Ovis aries: one gene and its partners. The protein of the gene in region 3 purifies or fractionates together with the protein of the main gene of each other region. This does not show direct contact. Links are inferred from orthologs where the notes say so. Each region holds a gene or a part of one and is shown on either strand. Other genes may lie near its edges.

Evidence for each region.
Region 1: the proteins of SNX4 (region 3) and SNX7 purify together in Homo sapiens (affinity purification with mass spectrometry; 3 studies listed by BioGRID and IntAct, counting the BioPlex papers as one, with this or other methods). This does not show direct contact. The link is inferred for Ovis aries from reciprocal best matches to the Homo sapiens genes SNX4 and SNX7.
Region 2: the proteins of SNX4 (region 3) and SNX30 purify together in Homo sapiens (co-immunoprecipitation; 4 studies listed by BioGRID and IntAct, counting the BioPlex papers as one, with this or other methods). This does not show direct contact. The link is inferred for Ovis aries from reciprocal best matches to the Homo sapiens genes SNX4 and SNX30.

Annotation. Positions count from the first base shown.
Region 1 is NC_056054.1:76,030,095-76,037,992, reverse strand, and holds part of SNX7 (sorting nexin-7), read right to left. Parts: intron 7,587-7,898; coding exon 7,388-7,586; intron 3,088-7,387; coding exon 2,888-3,087; intron 1-2,887. UniProt on the Homo sapiens protein: Involved in the regulation of endocytosis and in several stages of intracellular trafficking. Together with SNX4, involved in autophagosome assembly by regulating trafficking and recycling of phospholipid scramblase ATG9A.
Region 2 is NC_056055.1:10,863,070-10,870,967, forward strand, and holds part of SNX30 (sorting nexin-30), read right to left. Parts: coding exon 7,781-7,898; intron 4,891-7,780; coding exon 4,695-4,890; intron 2,177-4,694; coding exon 1,977-2,176; intron 1-1,976. UniProt on the Homo sapiens protein: Involved in the regulation of endocytosis and in several stages of intracellular trafficking. Together with SNX4, involved in autophagosome assembly.
Region 3 is NC_056054.1:190,789,117-190,797,563, reverse strand, and holds the start of SNX4 (sorting nexin-4), read left to right. Parts: upstream 1-4,173; 5' UTR 4,174-4,203; coding exon 4,204-4,344; intron 4,345-4,968; exon of another isoform or gene 4,969-6,199; coding exon of another isoform or gene 6,200-6,214; intron 6,215-8,447. UniProt on the Homo sapiens protein: Involved in the regulation of endocytosis and in several stages of intracellular trafficking. Plays a role in recycling endocytosed transferrin receptor and prevent its degradation.

The DNA of each region.
Region 1 (7,898 bases), about 110 Mb from region 3:
AAACAAATTAACAACAATAACATAAAATCAGTAGAAGCATTGAAAATACATGCTATGGTGTAAACTAGTTGCAGTTGTGAATGCATATGCACCACGCATCTGAAAGTATCTACAATCAGCCTTCTTACTGGACTCCAAAAGCTAATAGCTAAACAAAGTCAATTACAGTGGGGAATCAAAATGGAAGTATGCATTCACATCTTAAGATTTTATTTTAGCTTAAAATACGTAAGTGTTAACCAATTAGCCAAGCTTTTAAGGAAGAAATATGGCCTCTACTCTGACTGATAGGAGTTCCACCTTACTTACTTGAATAATCATGATTTTATGTTTCAGTTAAAACACCCCTGTGAAGGCATTTAAGTACAGAATTCATCTACATCTTTTACGATGTTTTCTAGCATTTTACAATGTCTTTCCCTTGGTGACTCACTTTTCTTCTAGACAGTCTACCTGGGCTTTGCAGATGCAAAGACTATTTGTACCCATCTTTCACTGGTTTTCATACTATTAATTAAATAGTGAAATTGTAATAATAAACACAAGTGGCCTAAACAGTTCAAGGCAAAAATAAAACTAACTCTGAGCAAGCAAACAGTTCAACCAGGAAGAGTGGAGTTGTAGGACGTATAAGAGAAGAACCTTAATGTGGTACAGGTCTTTTGGGTGTTTTCAGAGGAAGAGAAAAACCTAAACAGCAAATCACTTAAATGGAACCAAACAAGCTGGCTCTATAGTATTTGTGTGAAAACTGAGTCATTAAGGATAGAAAGCTGACTTTCCAGGTGGCGCTGGTGGTAAAGAATCTGCCTGCCATTGCAGGAGATGTAGAGATGAGGGCTTGATCCCTAGGTCAGGAAGATTCCCTGGAGGAGGACATGGCAACCCACTCCAGTATTCTTGCCTGGAGAATCCCTTGGATAGAGGAGTTTGGTAGGCTACAGCCCAAGGGGTTGCAGAGAGTTGGACATGACTGAAGTGACTGAGCAAAGCACAGCACACAAGGATAAAAAGCGTCCTGAAAATAACTCACCCTAGATTTGTGCCTGGTAGAATCACTCTTAAAATGTTCAAAGAGATTAACAACTCTCTTGTGTTCAAAGAAATGAATAGAAAATTCAACTAATTGTCACAAATTCTTTTATATTTACTTCAATGTTTAATTGCCATTAATGTCAGGAACTCCTTCCATTTTCTAACCCAAATGGCACATGCAATAATTTAGTCCCATTAAGATCTGTTTCCATCAATATGAAATATTGTGCTTCATATAGATAGAAATATTTTAAGTAAGAGGTGGCTTCAGAAGACAACTAGTAAAAACAGCAAAAATTTAATTGTTCTGTCAAAGCATATACTTTTCATTATTTTAGCTCACACTGAAGAAAACATTCCAATATAAAACAGAAACAGATCTGCAATGTAAGTGCTACTGATTATACCCTGGGAACCTACAAAATAATACAATCAAATGAGGACTTATAAAATAATTCAATTCTGGTTGCTATTATCATTTTTCCACACCTTTAATGACACATGATTTAAACTGCATAATTTCCATCTTGACATAATAAAGAGCAAAACACATATAATTAAGGGAAAATAATATTATATTTTTAATGATAAAAATCAGATCTCTTTGAATAGCCACACAAGAGGGAGATCAATAATGAAGTAAACCAATGGAATGTAGCCAAGGGAAATTGATGGAGGCAAAGCAGAGGTGCCTCAACAGTAAAATACTAGAGGACTTTGGGAAGCAGGGAGGATGTGCTTATAGGAGGACCCTGACAAAGTCAAATAACAGCAGAATAACAAAATATTTAATGATTCTGTGAAGGAAAATCTAAACATAATAAACATGAAAGAGGCAGATATTATGCTGAAAGGTTGAGAGAGCTTTTCTTACCGAGACAGAAGCAAAACAAATTTTTAAATCCTCCCAAATCAAGAGTACATGAAAACAGAAACCATAGATTCAAGCATAAATGGCAGGAAAAAATGGACTACCAGGCAATGCAAACTGACTTATTCCACCACTGTCATCTACAACACCAGAAAGCTGAGGGTGTCAGTTCAACTGTGTGAGGTATTATGCAGAGAATACAGGATGAAAAACATTAGCTTTGCAGATAACATCACAAAATCCCAAATATCTGGAGACCTAAACTGGAACTTAGGAGGTTACACGTAAAACTTTGATATAAAAGGAATAAAAGCCTTTTCAAGTCATGAAAGAAAAACATGGTAATTTGGAGGATTTCTCTTTAGAAGCATCCAGAAGACAGAACAAACATCAAGATCCTACTCAAGTACTTTCTACATAACAATACAAACAAAATAAAACATACTAAATCCCTATATTTTAGGGATTTTCATACAAATATGAAAACAAAATGTAACAAAAATGTATATTCATATAAATCCCTATATTATAGACAATAAGAAAAGACCTTATTTTTCCTCATTGGGCACATGTTCCTGTACATGAACATTAAGAATGTGGATATCATCTTTCAAACGTACCTAGAAGCAAGAAAGCAACTTGTCCATGAAAAGGAATTTCTAAAGTGCTGAAATTTCTGAAAGTAAAATTTTAAAACACTGGAAAAACTAATCATACTCTCTATGTAAATATTGACTGAGGATGCTTCAAACCTATGTTATAAACTACTGTTACTACTGTTGAATATGCCTGTCTTTTATTAACATATTCTTCTACTCATCAATTCATTCATGCAGTAAACAAATATTTATGAGCATCTACATGCAAAGCATCTTTCTATGAGAGGAAGATAGTGATGAACAAACTGAAACAGAAACTGCCTTTATAAAGCTTATAAAGCAAGTCAGGGACTCAGGTAGAAGTATAGTTAGGAGTCCTTACCATTAACATTTCACTATAAAGCACATACTCATGTACGACAGGTAGCAGGGCCTCTGAGAATCCAGACATCCATTTTTCAGTGGCCTTACAGCATTTGTCAATGCAGCTGGCAACACTTTTTAGAGTATCAGCCAGATCTTCTTCTGATGCCGACCACAGAATATGAATTGGACCGTATTCTTTCATTTCATCTAAATATTCTAAAAAATAATAAGTTCTTCAATTTATAATATGCTCTTTCAATATATATTTCAACATAACTTTAATTATATACTTAAAATACATGAAAATGTATATAAGTTTAAAAATCCCTATATTATAGACAATAAGAAAAGACCTTATTTTTCTCATTGTGTGCATGTTCTTGTAGATGAACATTAATGCAGATATCGTCTTTCATTAAATTGACCTGTCCTCCCAGTCTGCTCAGAACAGTCCTTGAATAAAAGCTTTCCAGGTGTAATCAATAATAACATGCTTTTTCATTGTCAAAAGTATCCTGGCTTGGGCAATGAATTATATGATCACTGTGTCTACTGTATCATGGACTTCTGCCTACCAAACAAACTCTACCTGAGTATTTCACTGGCAACATGATGTAAACAAAACATGTCTTCTTTTCCTCTTCTCCTGTTTACATATCCTAGTTACTGGTAATTGCTTCCAGAGATCTAAGCAAAAACTGTGGGGTCATCCTGCACCCTAAACTGACACCTACAAAGAGACAGTCAATCACTAATTCCAGTCTTTCTAAATCTGTATCTACTTATCTGCCCACCCATCCATCCATCTCCCCACCGATCTACCTATCCTCACTTGCACCATCATCAGCATCTCTAACCTGTGCTCCTGCAAGAGACTTCTAACAATTCTCCCTCTCAATTCTTGTCACAGTATATGAACATTAAAGCTTCTTAGCTGAATTAGAAAGGCCTTTAAGTCCTTCAGTCCCTACCTTGCCTCTCCAGATCTAACTCCTGAAAAATCTCCCTCACAGATATTTTAATTCAAGCCAAAATAACAGCTCATTCATGAATATCATGATTTCTCCTAACTTAAACACTGCACACGTCTTTCAGTTGCCCTCTACCATTCCTATCATCTGACAAACTACTTCTCACACTTGAAGTCGTAACACAAGTAAATCTCTCCCGTTTCTGTTCCAGAGGATTTGTAGATGCTTTGTCCTCAATGAGTGTCATAATTTTATGGTTCTATTAAAGCCTATCATAATTTAATACTATTATCTCACTCTATTATAACTGCTTGCATAACTCACATACTCTAAGGCCATACGCTCATTACAATAGGGCAGAGTCATTATTTTTTTAATCTCAAAGCCTAATACATAATGTATTTAATAAATATTTTCATATCAATGAAAGAATGAACAAAAGACTATTCAATGCTTGATAAACCATTTATCCAAAAATTTGGATTTCATTTTAAAATCTGAATATTTTTATACATTTGCTTTCACACTATCAATGTTGAATGACAGATGGCTTTTTATGGTAGAGGATGCATGAATAGTGAGAATTTTTGGTCTAATACCCACATAAGTATAATTAAGTTCTCTATATTTAATCATCTTATTAGTCATTGGGGTTAGTTGAAATATGTCATATTGCTCTAAATTAAACTTTTTTATTAAACTATTACATTTTTCAAAAGTTTATATGATCAGGTAAACTAAAAAAGACTTTAAAGATTTAAAAACAATACAAATACTATTATCACCTAAAGAAGATACTATGTTTGACAACCACTAGGATCCTTCCAAATTGCATCCTCCTGATCTAGGCCTATCTTTTATTTTAGATAATGGTCATGTGACACTATCCCTGCTCCAGGGTATATTCCCGTTGGACCAAACCCAGGTCTCCTGCATTGCAGGTAGATTCTTTACTGTCTGAGCCACCAGGGAGGCCCCAATATTTCTAGAAAAGAAAACATTCTCCTTTATTTCTTTTCTTAATTTCTGCATATATCAAAGTGTGTTATTTACCCTGTAAAGTATTTATTTTAATATAAAGAGCTTCCTTGAAATTCTAAATTGTATAAGCACTCAAATTGCATCTGTATGGAAACACTTACTGAGCTGCACTGTAATTTGTCTGTTAATATATCTGTTTCCCCAACTAGACTGTGAACTCAGGGACAGATACTATTTTAACCCTCCTTCAATCTTTAGCACAAAGCATTAGCACATGATGTGGTCAATACAAATTTGCCTAATTAATTAGGGAACACAAAACAAAGTCACAGAAAAAAAAAGGAATAAAAGCAAGTCAAAAGAAAAATGACTCATTATGATAAACAAATTCTTCATGATTTAAATATGAAATGCCTTATATAGCTTAGACTCCCAGAACTCAAAAACAAACAAACAAACAAAAAAAAAAACACCCCATCATTTTAAATGAAATCTTGAAAAATGGGCTTTACATTCGAAAGACCAAGAAATCCCTTAAGTTTGTGCCAGTGTGCCTCCACTCCTTGAAATTGAGAGCTCAAATTTATAAAGTCCACCACAAAAACCCAGTTTTCCTTTTGAGGATTTCACAAATATTAGAGCAGATCAGAGATTTGAAAACTAGTCCCTTGCCCCAGTAAATATAACACATAATGATGCTATTTGATATTCTGTAGAACTCTTAAATGTCAAGAGTTTCCAGGGGTTTCTTTGAATTGCCATACCACTTAACTATCCATCAAGAATTCACTTAATAGAATTGGAATCACTAAACCTAGTTAAAACAATTATCTTCTTGATTTTTTTAAAACTTACAAATGGTAAATACAAAGACCAAGAAGGCATAAATCAAATTATTGTCAGACTTAGCCATCTAAGTTGGCAAAAACTCATCATAGAATTTATAGAATTCATAGAATCATGAAATAAAATCTAACTTGAAAATAGGAAAAGAGATCTATTTTAAATCTCTCTGCCATTGCTTGGACAGATCTAATATAGAGTTCTTGCACCTCCTCCCCCACCCCCGCCCAAGCAAATGTGGAAACCCTATTTCCTGAAACATCACTTCTTTGATTAAAATTATGGCCCATGTTGAACATTTGAGACTGACTACACCCAAAATATTAAGCTCTTTATCCCTATTATTTATAAATGGAAATAAGAATGCGTGTGTGTGCTCAGTCATGTCTGACTCAATGCAACCCTATGGGTTGTAGCCTGCCAGGTTCCTCTGTCCATGGGATTCTCCAGGTAAGAAGGCAAGAATAGTGGGGCAGGGTGCCGTTTCCTCCTCCAGGGGATCGTCCCAACCCAGGGATTGAACCTGCATCTCTTACGTCTCCTGCATTGGCAGGCAGGTTCTTTATCACTGGCATACCTGGGTATACTCCAATAAAAATTTTTAAAAACAAAAAACAGAGAGGAATGCCCAGCCAGTGCCCAGGCTGGGAAACTGAAACTGTCAATGATGAATTGCTGGAGTCTCAGTGTGGACAATTCAAGGAGTTAAAAACTCCAGGGAAACTAGCCATGGGTGAAATCCCACAATATTGTGAGATTTACCTCCAAAAGCCTGCACAGTAAATATCAGGCAAAAATTACTTCTGCTTCCTGCAGGAGATGAGAAAATAAGCCATTTTGTAATAGCCAAGGTACTCTACCTAATAGCCAGGGTTCTTTTTAACAAGGCCTTCCCTTGTGGGAAACTGGTTACCCAGAGCATTACCTGCTGGGGTATTATCAGAGGCTAACTGACCTGGTAGCTTCCCTGGTGGCTCAGTGGGCAAAGAACCTGCCTGCAATGTGGGAGACGTGGGGTCGATCCCTGGGTTGGGAAGATCCCCTGGAGGAGGGCATGGCAACCCACTCCAGTATTCTTGCCTGGAGAATCCCCATGGACTGAGGATCCTGGGGGGCTACAGTCCATGGGGTCACAAAGAGTCAGACACAACTGAGTGACTAAGCACAACTGAGCTGGAGGAAAGGAAATACTCAACTTGAGCCTCCTCTGGTCATCCTGTCTCAACTAAGAGGGGGAAGGAAAAACCCTGAACTTCTGTGAGGCTCACAGTGGTCCAAGGCACAGACTCATGAAAGCACTGAGACCTAACCACAGGTCTCCAGAACGCTTCCCCTCCCCACACCTCGCCATCACATTACTAAAGGCCTATTTACTTTTATGAGTACATCATGTCTGGCTACCATGGGCAAAAGAAAATTAAAAGACATACTAAAAGGCAAAAAACACAATTTAAATAGAGAGCAAGCATCAGAACCAGATGTGGCAGAGATGTTGGAATTAGAGCATGATTTTAAAACAACTATGATGAATATGCTAAGGGCCCTAATTAGATACAGTAAACAGCATGCAATAACAGATGGGCACTGTAAGCAGAGACAGTAATCCTAAGAATGACCAAAAAGAAATGCTAAGTTGATGCTGCCTTACCACACCAGCAAATGGAAAAAGATTCATCAGAAATGCAACAACTTTGAGATCACAGTTTAGCAGTTCTACATACCCCGTTCTTCCTTGTAGATTCTCTGAGATATTTTATCTATCAAATTTATTTTCTGGCTAAATATTTCAATGAAGTTATTCATTTCCATGAACTCCTCGGGGCGACTTTTAACTCCTCTCATTGACAATGCAACCGCTCTGACTGACTGTCCCATCCTACTGAGTAATCCAGGCCCTTGCTTCTTGTGAGAAGAGAATTCCTAGGAATAAAAAAACAAACAAACAAACAAACAAAAAAAAAAAAATCTGTGATGAAGCAAACAATGATATTCTAAGATCCAACAATGAAAAAAGAAATCTAATCAGAATAAAGATGATAAAAAGGTTCCATATACATTTAGTCTCTAAGTGTCAGTCTCCTTGATAACATTCATTTCCAAAGTGCTCCTGTGAAACATGTAATCATGTTTTCTCAGAGCATGGATCCTTCAAAGAACAAGGTGTAACAGAGGGAACTGCACTTATAGAGATACTGGAGAAGATACGAAAATGATATGAGATGAAACCTGTAT
Region 2 (7,898 bases), on a different chromosome or scaffold from region 3:
TTATCCTTTACTTATCTGACCTCCCCACCTGCCACCCATTCCCTTGCTCAGCTGGCTCCACTTGCATTGGCCTTTACCTTATCACTCTCTCCCTGACTCTCATCTCACTAGTTATCAGCAGTACTTCTGAGATAAGCATGTTCTTTGACTTGCTACATGTAGATAAACCTACTACAAGTTATTAAAAATAACAAGATAGGTGTCATACAATAGTTAGATATCTGTAAACATTCTAAATGCACCACACTGTCAGCTTCAATTAAATATTCACCGACTACCTTCCACGAATAAGGCAGTGTGAGATATGAAGTATAGGGCCCTTCCCTAACTTTCTTAAATAAAGTTTCTCCAACTCCTGGCCTGGTCATATTGACACCAGTGCTCAAAAAGCACTGCTAGGACTTTGCTAAAGACTCTAACGTGTTCTCTCTCCCAGCCCATCACTATCATAGCCATATTTTATATACATGCTGTGTATAGAATGTGAGCCCATATAAGGGGCTCACCTGCAGATGTCTACAGCGTGTTTGAGTCCTGGGCCTGAGGTTAACTCTGGTACCCTTCTCTCTCAAGCTCTGTCCACTCCACAGTGTTCTTGGAAGCACACATCCTCAGCCACCAATCCAGCACAAGCTGCCTTCACTGTCCACTGACCATGACCCATCAGTTCCACGTGGGCTCCTAGGGCCATTTGCTGTGCTCTCTCTCTGCCTCTGAAGGGAACAGAACGTGCCGTGCCACGAGGACACTTAAAGACAGACAAGGTCCGCCTCAGCCTTGACAAGCAGGAACTGACCCAGTTTCTCTCGCCAACAGTAAAGGCATGAATATAAGGTGGCTGCTCATTAGAACTGGGACCGTGGAGCAGAGAAAAGATCTACCTGTGAGCCTCTGCTTCTTCATCTATAAAAATGAGCCAGCTAGCCAAGATAAACCTTGCCCACCATCACAGGAGTCCCCCGCAGCTACACTCTCCAACTGGTCTAACTGCAGGCTGGGGCAGTTTCTAATGCGGACATTAAAGCATTTGATCCTGTACCTGAATCTTATCACTTCTGCCCTAAAAGTTTACAATGATATGCTTTGGGTTGGTTTTCTGTCCAGTCCTTTTGCTGGGTAATCACCCTGTCCTTTTCATCTAAAGACTTATGCCCTTTGGTTTAGGGAAACTTTCTTGTATTGCTTCTTTCATAATTTCCTTTTCTCAGTTTTCTCTGTCCTTTCAATCATAACTCTTATTAGTCAGACGCTGAACCTTCGAGATGAATCCTCTACGTCTTTTATCCTTCTTCCACATTTTCAGTATTTTCGCATTTTTGTTCTACTTTCCAGCTACATTTTTTTTACAATACTTCCCAAGATTTCCTCAGCCTCATTTTCCAACTGTGCTCTTCAATTTTATTTTAGCAACCACACTTTAACTTCAAAGAGCTCTAATTATTATTCAATTGCTCTTTTCTCACAACATACTGTTCTTAATCAGATGTTACATCTCAAACACTCAGAGAACTCTAGCTAGCTCCCCCTCTAAGATTCTAGTAAGAATCTCTTTCAAACTTTCTTTTTTTTTTTTTTTTTTCATTTAATTCACATACTTGGATTTACCATGTGTTCTTTTTACATGTTCAGGAAAGAGGTCAGTCCACATGTCTGACCCTGCCCATCTAGGAAGAAGGAAACCTAAGTGAAGTGAAGTGAAGGTCGCTCAGTCGTGCCCGACTCTGTGCGACTCCGTGGACTATACAGTCCATGGAATCCTCCAGGCCAGAATACTGGAGTGGATAGCTGTTCCCTTCTCCTGGGGATCTTTCCAACCCAGGGATCGAACCCAGGTCTAACCACATTGCAGGCAGATTCTTTACCAGCTGAGCCACCAGAGAAGCCCAATACCACAAGCAAATAGGCAATAACCAATTAGTTTTTGGTTAATGACAACAAAGAAAGTACCTAGGTGCACAATGAGGGAGCCAGCTTACCTTCATGGAGTCAGAGTATAAAATATATTCCCTGAGCACAGGTAGAAAGTCCTCCGTCATGTCATCGGTCAGTTCCTCCAAGGCTGTAGAGCAGTTGCCGATGCAGGCTGACACACCCTCCAGGGGCTCGGCCAGCTCCGCCTCTAGGGCGCTCCATGTGGAGTACACGGGCCCGTATTCTCTCAGCTCTACAAGGTACTCTAAAAGGGGAAGAGAAACCAGTTGAGATCTGGCTGGGCAAGAAACTGTGGAAAATTATGAAAGAGACTGGAATACCAGACCACCTGACCTGCCTCTTGAGAAATCTGTATGCAGGTCAGGAAGCAACAGTTAGAACTGGATATGGAACAACAGACTGGTTCCAAATAGGAAAAGGAGTACGTCAAGGCTGTATATTGTTACTCTGCTTATTTAACTTATATGCAGAGTACATCATGACAAACGCTGGGCTGGAAGAAGCACAAGCTGCAATCAAGATTGCCGGGAGAAATATCAATAACCTCAGATATGCAGATGACACCACCCTTATGGCAGAAAGCGAAGAAGAACTAAAGAGCCTCTTGATGAAAGTGAAAGAGGAGAGTGAAAAAGTTGGCTTAAAGCTCAACATTCAGAAAACGAAGATCATGGCATCTGGTCCCATCACTTCATGGCAAATAGATGGGGAAACAGTAGAAACAGTGGCCGACTTTATTTTGGGGGGCTCCAAGGTCACTGCAGATGCTGACTGCAGCCATGAAATTAAAAGATGCTTGCTCCTTGGAAGGAAAGTTATGACCAACCTAGATAGCATATTCAAAAGCAGAGACATTACTTTGTCAACAAAGGTCTATCTAGCTAAGGCTATGGTTTTTCCAGTAGCCATGTATGGATATGAAAGTTGTACTATAAAAAAAGCTGAGTGCCGAAGAATTGATGCTTTTGAACTATAGTGTTGAAGAAGACTCTTGAGAGTCTCTTGGACTGCAAGAAGATCCAACCAGTCCATCCTAAAGATCAGTCCTGAGTGTTCACTGGAAGGACTGATGTTGAAGCTGAAATGCCAATACTTTGGCCACCTGATGTGAAGAGCTGACTCATTTGAAAAGACCCTGATGCTGGGAAAGATTGAGGGCAGGAGGAGAAGGGGACAACAGAGGATAAGATGGTTGGATGGCATCACCGACTCAACAGACATGAGTTTGGGTAAACTCTGGGAGTTGGTGATAGACAGGGAGGCCTGGCGTGCTGCAGTCCATGGGGTCGCAAAGAGTCAGACACAACTGAGCAATTGAACTGAACTGAAAGGGGGAAGAGAAAAACCAGCTGAGATCTGGCTGGGCAGTAATCGCTGGTATTACTGACTCAGTAACTATTGCAGCAAAGAGCTCTCTGAGCATGTTTCCCTTTAAACACAGCACTGATGGTAACAGAATATTTTTTACAATCTCTGTAAGCTGATGTTGTAGCTAACATCACAACATCAGTCAACTCCACTCCATAATGGAAATGTCATGCCTCTGGATAATGGGAGCCCCCAAGCCTTCAGGGGGAAAGTGCTGGGAGTGACATCCACTAAATATCTTCCAAAAAACTTACTCACCTACTCCTACAGTGAAGCAATATTTTGACAGGCCATGGAAGCAGAGTTTCATATAGGTTTAGGGGGATGTTTTCAAAAGGGAAAAAAAAAGAAAATCAGTCACAATGGAAAACCAATCGAATTTTAGGAAATACTTGATATAAGAAAGTGTGGGCTTACATAGGCAGACTCTCTTTCTCACTCAGGGGTCACCGCAACACCTTGGGCCCATCAGAATTTACCCCACATGATCTTTAGGTGTGGATGGTACCTAAAGCCATCTCTAAAACCTGCAGGCCCACATAAGACCAGCAGCAGGTAAAGGAGAATTAAAACACAGGGGAAAATATTATTTCTCCTCACAAAGAAAATCTGGCCATCAATTGTCACCAGGATTCTTGCCATTACGATAAAACGTTGCTGCCATTTTTCAATAACCAATGGACTGCAGCTACCGGGGAATCCTTTCCTACGTTTCACATCACATGCCAGCATGATCACACATAGTGTTTGGGTGTGTTTGGCCTACACGTGTGTAAGAAGACAAAAGGCCCCCACATTCTGGGATACAGAAAAGCAAGTGGCCAAGAGAGGGGTGGGGATGAAGCAGCGGCAGCAACCAGGAAGGTTAAAGAAAGGCCTGGAACTCTCAGGAAGAGTGGGCTTGAAATGAAGCCAAGGCGAGGCAGGTGAGTCAATTTCAAGTCTGAAACCTCCTTAGGATCAGAACTTTGGCAAACACAGGCTGTCCTTCTCAATCACCTTTCTGCCAGAAAAGATACTCGTTTAATTTTTAAATGATCGTCGCTATAGATGAGAGAGAGGATGGCATCCAACCATCTCATCCTCTGGCGATGGAAGAAGGGAAATCAAGAGAGAAAACTAGAAAAGCCTAGTGGCTCAGAGTGGCTGTTTGTCGTGGGGAAATCAAACACAGGATGAAATGCAAGGCCAGGGATGGAGTACAAAATTCCCCTCTGGTCTCAACTACCTCCCCCGCTCCGTATATATACGTGTGTGTGTTGGTTTCACGAGGATAGTGTGGCCTGGTTCTGCCACCCCAGCATTTCAGCAGTTTGATTCTGCCTGGCACACACGAGTGCCATTTCTGCAAACATGGTTCGCGGGCCTGATCCAGACCTTGACACACAGCTCACCTATTTCTTCCTTGATGATCCGCTGGGCTATTCGATCGATGGTTCCCAGCTTGAGCGCAAACGTGTCTAAGTACTCGCCGATGGCTGCGAATTCAAGAGGCCGATTTCTCAGCTTGTAGCCGCCAGCGACATGCTTGACCGACTCGCCCACTCGAGTCAGCAATGCCATCCCTTGCTTCTTGTGGGCGTTCAGGTCCTAAGGATGACACACGAAGAGACAGACTCAAAGGGCTCACCCGCTCACACAGCCAGGATTCGGTAAGCCAATTCCTTTAGGAAATGGAGGACTCCGAAAATAAGGGACTGGGGATTCCCTGGTGGTCCGGTGGTTATAAGTCCACCTCCTGATGCAGGAGATGTGGGTTCAATGCCTGGCTGGGGAACTAAGCTCCTGTATGCTGCGGTACACCTAAGATGCAACACAGCCAAATAAATATGTATTTTTAATTATTAAAAAGCAAAAGAAAAGTAGCCGAGTTAGGTAAGGCGCTAACCACACACACACAGACACACACACGTCTCCTCCCGTGTCATCGCGGCTAACCACACACACACAGACACACACGTCTCCTCCCCTGTGTCATCGCGGCCACCGCGCTCACACCCCTGCTCCTGCACACCAGGTCTCTTTCTCCAGGGCTGGACTCCTTCCTTTCCAACAAGGGACACTGACCCTGCACACGTTTCTTTAAGCACAACTGTTGAAATACAACTTTTTTTTAAAGAGTCCCTTTCTCTTGTACAAAATATCCTAAATTGTCTTTAGGAGCAAAATTCAACAGCTGAGATTCATTCATTTATATCCAATCGAAGCCACATAAGGGACGTAGAGGGTGGGAGGCAGGACGCAGTGACAGGAAAGGCCGTGCGGCAAAACCCAGCCAGCGCTCTGCGATGCTAGAAATCAGGCCAGCGTTCGTTCTAGGGAGGAGGAGGGCGGGAGTGACTGGGACGGGGGCTTCCAGGGTGCTGGGGATTTTCTGTCTTGATACAGGTAATGGTCGCAAAGGGCGTGTTCATTTTCTGATCACCTATTGAGCTATGATTGGCGTACTTTTCTGGACGTGTGTTCTCCTTCAGTAACAAACCTGAAGACATTTTAAACATCAGTTCACCTTGCTTGGCCCACAAATAAAAACCACACATACACACAAAAAAAATACCTTCCTCCTTATTTTTCACACAAATTCCTAGTGACCAGGGATCCAAGCTTTCTCCTGCTTTGTCCCTTTATTCAGTAAAAATGATGAAACTTGAGGGCTTGCCTGGATGAAGAACCTGCAATTTGGGTGAAACGGTGTGTTGTACTTCTGGAGAACAGGGGGGAGTTTACTTTGTGTTTACTCTGGAAGAACTGTGCCTGAGGAGCAGTTCACCAGGAAATATTCATTTTTAAAAAAAGAACACAAGTTTGAACTGTGGAGGGAAGGCTTCCAGGGAAAAGAGAAGATGAATAAGAATGTCATCCAGGAGGTTGAGTGCCAACTGAGGTTTGGGAAAAAGGGGGAAAAAAATAAAAACAAATCGCAACACTGGCGGACTCTGGCATGTGGTCCTCACTGTCTGCAGAATGGCATCCCCCTAAGGTCTTTACGTCAGGTGACACTGTTTGTAAATATTTCTCAATATGGGATTTTGAAAAAGAAAACTGGAAAGTACCTGGACCTAAATATCCTTGCCAACGCGGGAGGAATTACCTATGGCCTCAACATGAGACTAGGAGGCATGAGCGTAAAGGGATGGGGGGTGGAAGACAGCTGGCACGAGAGTCTGAACACGAGCTCTCACTTCCGCAGACAGACAGAGTGGAGCACCTCGGGTTCTGGACCAGTTCTGCCAAGAGGGAAGTCCCGCGACTAGGCACGGGGTGGCCCCCTTGAGTCAGCTGCATCCCCCAGGTTTGGGGCTGTCATGTTCCCGCTGTCATTTGTTTCCAGGAATTTTTCTATTTCCCTTTTTATTTCCTCAGTAACCTTTTCGTTATTTAGAAATGTACTGCTTAATCTCATGTGTTTGTGTTTTTTACAGCTTTTTTTTTCCCCTGTAATTGATATCTAGTCTCATAGTATTGTGGCCAGAAAAGATGCCTGATGTGATTTCAATGATGCCTGATAATGATTTCAATTTTCTTAAATTTACTGAAGGGGAGATGGCCAACTTGACTCTGACTATGTAGAATCCAGCACCTGTGTTTGTCCTGACTCTGTCCCTGGCAAGTGCCTAGAAAATGCCCACCTGCTAGGAACTTGGCTGCAGGTAAGTAATGCTATATTCATTGGAAGGACGGAAGCTGAAGCTGAAGCTTAAGCTCCAATGCTTTGGCCATCTGGTATGAAGAGCTGACTCATTGGAAAAGACCCTGATGCTGGGAAAGATTGAGGGCAGGAGGAGAAGGGAACAACAGAGGATGAGATGGTTGAATGGCTTCACCGACTCAATGGACAGGGGTTTGGGTGGACTCCGGGAGTTGGTGATGGACAGGGAGGCCTGGCATGCTCCAGTTCATGGGGTTGCAAAGAGTTGGACACAACTGAGTGACTGAACTGAACTGAAGTAATGCTAAACTCCTCTTGGTCAGGTGGTCTGATACCCAGGAAAACTGTGGCCTCAGGAGCCACAAAGACCCAGTTTACACCCCAGTGATGCCAGCTGAACTCGAATACACACCCTGAGCTTCAGTCTCCTCACCCATGAAATGAGACTCTGAGCCAACACTCATGAAGTTCCCGTGAAAAATGTCCTTACCAAACCCTCAATGAACATTCTTGCCCTTTCATGCCCACTGTTATCAGAATGGCCTCATCCAGTAATATCGCTGGTAAGTGTTCAGGAAAACATCTCTACTTTTGGCAAGCGAAAATAGTCTAACTTCCTCAGCTGCTGCAGGGGGATAGTTCTCCCGAATTCTAACCCGGAAACCATGCCAGGGCAGATGAGCACCAAGAAAAAACACTAAAGACACAAACCCAGAGCAATTCTATGTCACCCACTCACTACAGGTGTGCCTTGGAGAGATCAGAACACCTTTCAAGGGAGCGTAGAAAGAATGCTGATTTGGGGGAGGAATAGAAAAGAGTCTGCCTTACCTTGGCAGTAAGGAAAACATTAAAGTGTTCATTGAAGGAGAGCACAGGGTGATCTGTAATTCTTTTCAGGAATTTATCCAAAGCTTTTCTTCTGGTCTCCACAAACTCTTCTGAAAAT
Region 3 (8,447 bases):
CCTGTTTCTTGTTCACCTTTCTGAACATGTATTGGGACACGCTGCTTCTCAAGCAGGGGTAAGATCCCAGATACTGCTCTCTCTCCTGCGTCCTGCCCTCCCTCATTTAATTCTATTCCTGAGTGTTCTCATTCACAGCATGGCTTTCCCTTCACTTTGCTGCCCTCGGAACCGCTGCTTTTTGAGGGTGGTTGGCTGAAAAAGGATAGGATCCCCCTCAGGAGGGTTGTACCTCTGATTAGTGACTTAAAGTGTTCCCTTGTGGCAGTCCACACAGCAAGGGGCAAATGATGCCAGAAGTTCCAAGTAGAAGAGTCCATCTAAGACATTAATGTTTTAAACTGATTCGTGGTAATTTAAATTTTCTCACAAACGCAGCCTTCCTCCCCACTCCCCCCCTCCCACTTATACTGTCTATAAGAAACACTTTAAAGACACAGGTTGAAGATAACAAAATGGAAAAAAGATCTACCATGCAAACAAAACAATAAACATAATACCTGGTGTGGCCATACTGATATCAGATAAAATGGGCCTTAATGCACAGAGTATCTGTAGACAGAAAGAGACACTTCTCCATGATAAAAGATCAGTTCCATTAGAAATACACAATAATCGTAAGTTTGTATGTACTTAATAAACATCTTCAGAATACATGAAGCTGATGTCACCCGCAATGACACTAAAATGAGAGATGGAAGGGGTTGGGGCTGGTTGCTGTTCAAGGAGAAGAAGGGTATAGTTTCAGAGGAAGAAGAAAATGACCTTCACAGACCCTGAAGGGTTGGCCAGACACAGGAGGAGAATCCTGGGGAGGGGAGCACAGAACTTGGATGATGTGGAGCAAGAATGGGTGTTCTGAGATCCTAGGCTAATAGCAGAGCTCAATAAATATTTGTTAAACCCATGACAAAATGGGAGCTTAAATCACGCTATCCAGATGTAAGAAACTGAATTTCCTCTGGCTGGATGAGGTGGGGAGTGTGTCCACATAGAAGGTGACTACACCACCCTGGCTAGATAACCCTGCTCCTGAGATTTTCCCATTCAGGCCCTCCCCGAGGGAAGTGCTGGGGTAGATATCCTCCAGTCTGAATCAGAAGAATGGGGAACATCTGAAATCTCCACCGAGTTAGTCTTGGGCTCTTCTAGACTTTAGCCAGTGTAGTGACTTTACCTTCATAATCAAGGAAAGGTGCCTCAGGTCACTTATGCTAACCCCACGTCATCAAACAGGACTTAATATTTAACTTAATTACAGTTTCAGCTCTTCCCGAAATGGAATCAAACTTGTCAATCAGGAATTACTTGGTCAGTACTAATGAGGTGATTTGTTCTTTAGACATACTATCCTCAAAAGAAATGTGTCCTTAACACCAGCAGTTCAGTTTTTGCTGGTATAACTTCCTTGCCCTTGTTCCCTCCTAAGTCTTCCACTTTGTACAGCTCATTGGAGTGCCTTTCTCTCTGCTTAGATGGGATGCTGCCTGATCCATGAATTGTTGAATAAAGCCAAAAAGATCCTCCAAGTTTGTTGTTGTTCAATCATTCAGTTGTGCCTGACTCTTTGCAACCCCATGGATTGTAGCACCCTAGGCTTCCCTGTCCTTCACCATTTCCTGGAGCTTGCTCAAACTCATGTCCATTGAGTCAGTGATGCCATCCAACAATTTTGTCCTCTGTCATCCCCTTTTTCTCCTGCTTTCAATCTTTCCCAGCATCAGGATCTTTTCCAGTGAGTCGGCTCTTTGCATCAGGTGGTCAAAGTATTGGACATTCAACATCAGTCCTTCCAATGAATATTCAGGGTTAATTTCTTTCAGAATTGACTGGTTTGATCTCCTTGCTGTCCAAGAGACTTGCAAGAGTTTTCTCCAACACCACAGTTCAAAAGCATCAATTCTCTGGCGCTTGACTTTCAAAGTTTACTCAGTTGAATTATGGTTTTTTAACACTACTCACTGCAAGGTGTGATGCTCAAGTCACCAGCCCAGAGCAATTATCCCAATGGCTCTAGGACTTAGTTTCCTGGGTATCTCAAAACTGGGAAAAGGGCACAGTATAACAGATACAGACAAAGGTCCATATAATCAAAGCTATGTTTTTTCAAGTAGTAACATACTGGTGTGAGAATTGGACCATAAAGAAGGCTGAGCACCAAAGAATTGATGCTTTTGAACTGTGGTGCTAGAGTAGAGACTCTTGAGGGTCCCTTGGAGAGCAAGGAGATCAAATCAGTCAATCCTAAAGGAAATCAACTCTGAATATTCATTGAAAGAACTGATGCTGAAGCTGAAACTCCAATACTTTGGCCACCTGATGAGAAGATCTGACTCATTGGAAAAGACCCTGGAGAGACTGAAGGTAAAAGAAGGGGACAAAAAAAAAAAAAAAGAAGGGTGGCTAGATAGCAACACTGACTCAATGGACATGAATCTGAGCAAATTCCTGGAGACAGTGAAGGACAGAAGAGCCTGGCATGTGTCAGTCCATGGGGTCTCAGTTGAACATCACTTAGCAACTGAATGACAAAATAACAGATACAAATCTGTCCCTGATATCTGTTTCTCCTATAATAAATTAATAAAGTCTTCTGATTTAAAAATGGTTCCTTGAAATTCCTTGGTGGTCCAGTGGTTAGGACTCAGCACTATCACTGTGAAGGGCCAGGGTTGTTCAATACTTGGTGGGGAAATTAAGATTCCACAAGTCACACAGTGAGGCCACACACACACACACACAAAAACCCTAAGAACTTGCCTAGCATGGATATTCCCTGAAAAACTGTTTCAATGCCTTGCAACATTCAAGCTTTGCTTATTTATTTGGCAGGGGTGGGTCTCTGTTGCTGCACATGGGCTTTTTCTGGTTGTGGTGCACAGGCTTCTCATTAGTGGCGTCTCTTGTTGAGCGAGACTTAGGCACATGGGCTTCAGTAGTTGCAGTACGGGGGCTCAGTTGCTCACCGGCATGTGGGATATTCCTGGATCAGGGATTGGATTTGTGTCCCTTGCATTGCAAGGTGGATTCTTAACCACTGGACCACCAGGGAAGTCCTAAATGCCTTTAAACATTTATTGAGTAAATGTCCTAGGCTTGGTAAGAAAGAACAAAAAATAGGGTCCTTGCTTTAAAGGAGTCTGAAGTCTAGTTGGGGCAGACAGACATAAATAAATAATTGTAAATTGTAAAGAAGTATGAAAAAGGTCGTAATTGATTTATGAACAAAGTGATATTAGCACTTGGACATAACCTGAGGTTTTAGGGATGAATGGGAAAAATCGCTACCATGCCAAAAGAAGGATCAGGAGGAGGAGAAAACTGCGTGTCACCGCTTCGAACAGCTAAGTTATTTGGACAGAAAGATCAGTTTCTCTCCTTGAAAATTTGACGACCAGACTTCCTATACAAGGTACTACAAAGTACCACAGTCTGGTACACCCAGTGAGCGTTTCCCGTCAGGTTATCACAGTGAATACTTGCCTAGGAAATAGGTTCCGAAAATTCAACCGAAGTGTTTATAGAAAATTATCAGATATCACCAGGGCTTCAAGAAACACTTGAAGATAGAACTCAAACACAGCTTCAGTTAAGCGCTTCACTTTTCTCAAACACTTGAAAAGTGTTTACCTTTTCCTGATTGTGTCACTCAACCTGGTGAAAATTAGTGAGATACGCGGCTTCGATCTTTCTGGGTGTGTGTTTAGGGGGTGGGGGTGGGGCCAAAAAGGAACCAATATAAACCAATATAAAAAAACCAAAAAAGGAACCAAGATAAAAGGCCAAGAGGGAGACGTCAGATCACAGCCACTGATTTCTACCGATTTCAAGTTTTCTTTAGGTGATCACCAACCTGAGTGGTTCCAGCACCCACCCTGTCTTCACCTTCCCCTTGCCTTTCTGTCTTTCCCTGCACCGGTTCTCCCGGATTCCTGAGTCTCCTGGCTCGGGAGCTGACCACTTCCCGCGTACCAAGTACCCTTGGTACGCCGCCCTTCCCAAGTACCATCCCCAGCTGCTGGCCTAGCCCATGAGCGGTCTCAGTCTGCTTGGCCGTGAGCTAGACGCGGCGCGGCGCGGCGCGGCGGGGCGGGGCGGGGCGGCCGCAGGCCGAGGGGGCGGGGCCTGGCCGGCGGCCGTGGGCGGGGCCGGTCCAGGCGAGGCGGCGCCGGCGCACTGTGTCCGCTGCGCTGAGCCGCAGCAATGGAGCAGGCAGCTCCCGACCCTGAGCGGCTTTTGCAGCCCGCGCCGCTGGAGCCGCTGAGCCACCCCGACGCTGGGCTGGAGTCCATGGTCGGTGAGGAAACGAAAGGGGCCCGGGACGAGGGCCCCGGGGACGGCACGGTGAGGAGAAGGGGCGGCAGAGGCCTCCCACCCCCGCGGCCTGGGGCGCGGCCTAGAGGGCAGAATGGACTGGTTTACGCTGACCGCGCGGGTGGGCTCGCTCGGCCGAGAGGCCCCGCGGCGACGGGGAAGCGGGGTGCAGTCAGTGGGGGGAGGCTTGGTGGGAAAAGGGGGTTCTGAGTAGGGGCGAGCGCCAGGGCTGCGGGACCGCAGGAAGGGTGAAGAGGGCGCGGCCGTGGGCGCGGCTCGGCAGGCGCGGGCGCGGGGCCCGGAAAGCGCCAGGCTGAGGCAGGTGCGGTTTCGGGGTTGGGAACCCCGGGGGGTTGGACCCGAAGAGGAACGCTGATGTTTCTGGCATCTATAAGTTGTGCGGAGGAGTAGGCTTAACCGTGGGCGGTGGCAGCGGTGTTTGAGAAAGAAGAGAATGGGGGACTTGAGGAACAAGTTTGGGGCACGAGGGTGTTTGGCTTGGTGCCACCATCGGGAGATGGAATAAAGTGTTAGAGTCAAGAAAAGGTACAAGTGAAAAAGATTTTTTTTGTTTGTTTGTGTGGTTTTAAATAGATTTTTAGTTGGAGAATAATAAAACTGCTTTACTATATTGTGTTGGTTTCTGCCACACAGGAACGTGAATCAGCCATAAGTAAGTATACATATGAGCCATAAGTAAGTATACATATGTCCCCTCCCTCTTGAACCTCCCCCCATCCAAAATCTTATTTGACTTGTAATTTCCTCATTTGGGGTCAGTGCCGTATCTCCCAATGGAGATGTGTCATGGATATCCCATTTGTTGGCTTTGTGAAGCTCCTTTGATAGTGATTTTCATTTGCTTGACAGAAGGATGAAATGCATCATTTTATATTTGTAATTACTTTCATTCCAAAGTGTTTCCACGCATAATGCAAGATGAGTAGACCATGTTAAATAAAGTGATTTGGAAACTCAGTCGAGTACTTATCATCAGACCACCCTAATGAGGCTGTGCAGTGCTCATCCATTTTGGTTGTTTTTTTTCTGAAACAAGTTATCAATATAAAACTGCCCATCCTTGTGATAAATGGATAAAGAAAAGTTAAAAGTTGTTGGCTGACTGTAACTAGAAAGACAACTAGCTAGGAATTTCAACACTATTTGAAGTTCAACACTTCACCACTAGCTATTTTAACTAGCTAGGAGTTCAAGGTTTTGCCTACTTGGGGGAAATGTCGAGGTATAGGATAGCATGAAAACTTCTGTGGGTGAATTTTAAGTTTTTCATTTGTTTTCTTCCTAAATTATAGAATTGTTTGTGGCGAGGTATCTTATATGAAATGTGAGAGCAGTGTGTGTATTCTGTAGTCCATAAACTTGACTCTTACATGAATTGCTTTTTTAATGGAGATTCTATTTGTGACTTAGTTTTTCTGTTTCTTAAAAAAACAACTTTTACTGTGAAGTTTATAATTAATGCAGAGAAGAGTCTCACAAAATAAAAATCAGTTTCTTTGAAACCTTTTTATAGTCTCCTGTTACATCCGCTCCCTCGACCACAGAAGTAATTATATTCTGGATTTTGTATTAACAACTTTCTAGCTTTAAATATATATATAAATGTAAATGTCCCTAAACAACATGTTGTTTAGTTTTACTTCATTTTGAAATTTACATAATCGAACTAGTTTTACTATGACTTCCTTTTTTTGCTCTATACTGTTTGGGGATTCACCCAAAATGTAACTTAGTTTGTTTTTATAGTCATGACTCTATAGTATACCATTTTGTAGGTATTCTACAGTTGATTTCTCTTTTCCTCGTTTTACAGACATTAGGGTTGTTTCAAGATTCTTGCTGTTCCTGAAAGATAACTACCACTATGAACTTCTTACATGTAAGAAATACATAGTGCAAGTGTCTATAAACATAAAAGTTGATTGTTGGATCATAGGGTGGTAGCATAAGACATGGAGAAGACAATGGCACCCCACTCCAGTACTCTTGCCTGGAAAATCCCATGGACAGAGGAGCCTGGTAGGCTGCAGTCCATGGGGTCGCTAAGAGTCAGACAGGACTAAGCGACTTCCCTTTCACTTTTCACTTTCATGCACTGGAGAAGGAAATGGCAACCCACTCCAGTGTTCTTGCCTGGAGAATCCCAAGGACAGGGGAGCCTGGTGGGCTGCCGTCTATGGGGTCGCACAGAGTCGGACACGACTGAAACGTGTCCGACTGAAACAGCAGCAGCATAAGACATAGAGGTGTGTGTGTGTGTGTGTGCGCGCGGCCACTCAATCATGTTTGACTTTGTGAACCCATGGACTGTAGCCCACTAGAATTTTCTAGGCAAGAATATTGGAGTGGGTTGCTGTTTCCTACTCCAAGGGATTTACCTACCCAGGGATTGAACCCAGGTCTCTTGCATCGGCAGGCAGATTCTTCAGCAGTGTGCCACCTGGGTAGCACTGTAGCATAGTAAGTAGTGCCAGGTTGTTTGCTAGAGTGAACATACCAGTTTGTATTCGCATCAGTAGTGCCTGCTGCTGTCTGTCCTTATCAGCACTTAATATTTTCAGACTTTAAGTTACTTGCCAACCATGTGGATATGTGTTAAAGCAATTTTAGATTGTTTCAAAGGGTGAGAATCATATCTTTTGTTAGCTGAATTGTGAGTTTAATTTTGATAATGACTGAACATTTTGGTAATTTTTTTTGTGACAGCCTTTGGATGGTTAACTAATATGAAGTTGCAACTATAGTATAAAATCCATTTGTGTTAAGTGATTATAAATATCTCATTTAAAGTAAAAAACCTGTGTTCAGTTTAAGATATTTGAAATCCCAAAGATGCCATCATACAGTAAAAGTTGTAGTTATGTAATATTATCTGACTTTTAAATGTGTGATAAGAGACCATTTGAGATTGCCCAAGCTTAGGGTTTCCTCAAACAATGATTTGGTAATTTATAGAGATAATTTAGTAACTTTTAGAAATACAAGCCATTTGGACAAATATTTCAGAATCATCTGGAGCTTATCAACACACACATGTGCATCCACATACACTCTACATGTTGTCCCCTCCTTCTAAAAGTCTGCAGTCTCAGAAGATCTACTCCTTTTCCTGTTTCTGTCCCCTCTTCCACTCTAATCCATCCACAGTTGAGAAGTATTGCAGTAACCATAGCCATGTTGCTACTGTTACTGGTAGATAGGAATGTGGTCTGGGCAGACAGGTAAATTACATTTGTTTGTGCTAGACACTGTGAGGCTCTACTGTTCATTTAATTTTCAAAATTACTCCCAAAAGACATAAAAGACATACAGAGATAAGGAAGCAGAAGCTCTGAGAGAAGTAATTTGGCCAAAGTCACAAACTAGTGACATGACTGGGATTTGGGCCCAAATCTTTGTGGCTTTGACATCAGTGCTCTGTTCATGAAACCATAAAGCTTCACTCCCTGCCCCCTCACCACCAAGAAAAAAAAAAGATTAAAAATAGTCTTGTAAATTGTAAAATACTATACTTAAATATTTTTTTTATTAAGATTCAAGTTGTTATTTTAAGAAGAAAAGAGCTCTGAATAATATGTTGACTTATCAGTAACTTTTTCACCATAAAAGCATATATACTGATAGTGTGGAGAAATGACAAAAAGCCTCATCAGCCTTATTTTTGACTCTGCATTTTGGTTGGAGAGAAAATTGTGCTAGTTGCCCTACACTGAGGGATAGTGGAAACATGCACTGCCAAGGTGATCTTTTCCAGTTTTAAACATCCCTAATTTTAACATTCTTTAAATTCGGTTGTAAACTCTCATTCTCTTGTTTTTATTTCTGTGAGTCTTTGTCCTCTTCCTTTCCAATGTCTAGTTAGAAGTTTCCCTTTCTTTCTGTACTTTTTCCTTACAAAGAAGAGTGTATTTTTTTTTAAGTGTTGTTGGTTTTATTTAAAGAAGTTTGGAATATGAAGAATGAGGGAGGACCACAGTCTTCAAGAGAGTAGCAATCAGTCCTGGCGAGGACGCAGCAAGGGAATGGGGGTAAAAATGCTGCTTTTTTTGGGCTGGAAAATTCCATTGAGTTGGCAGTTAACAGTATTTGCTCAGAGAAGCGCTGCCTGAGGT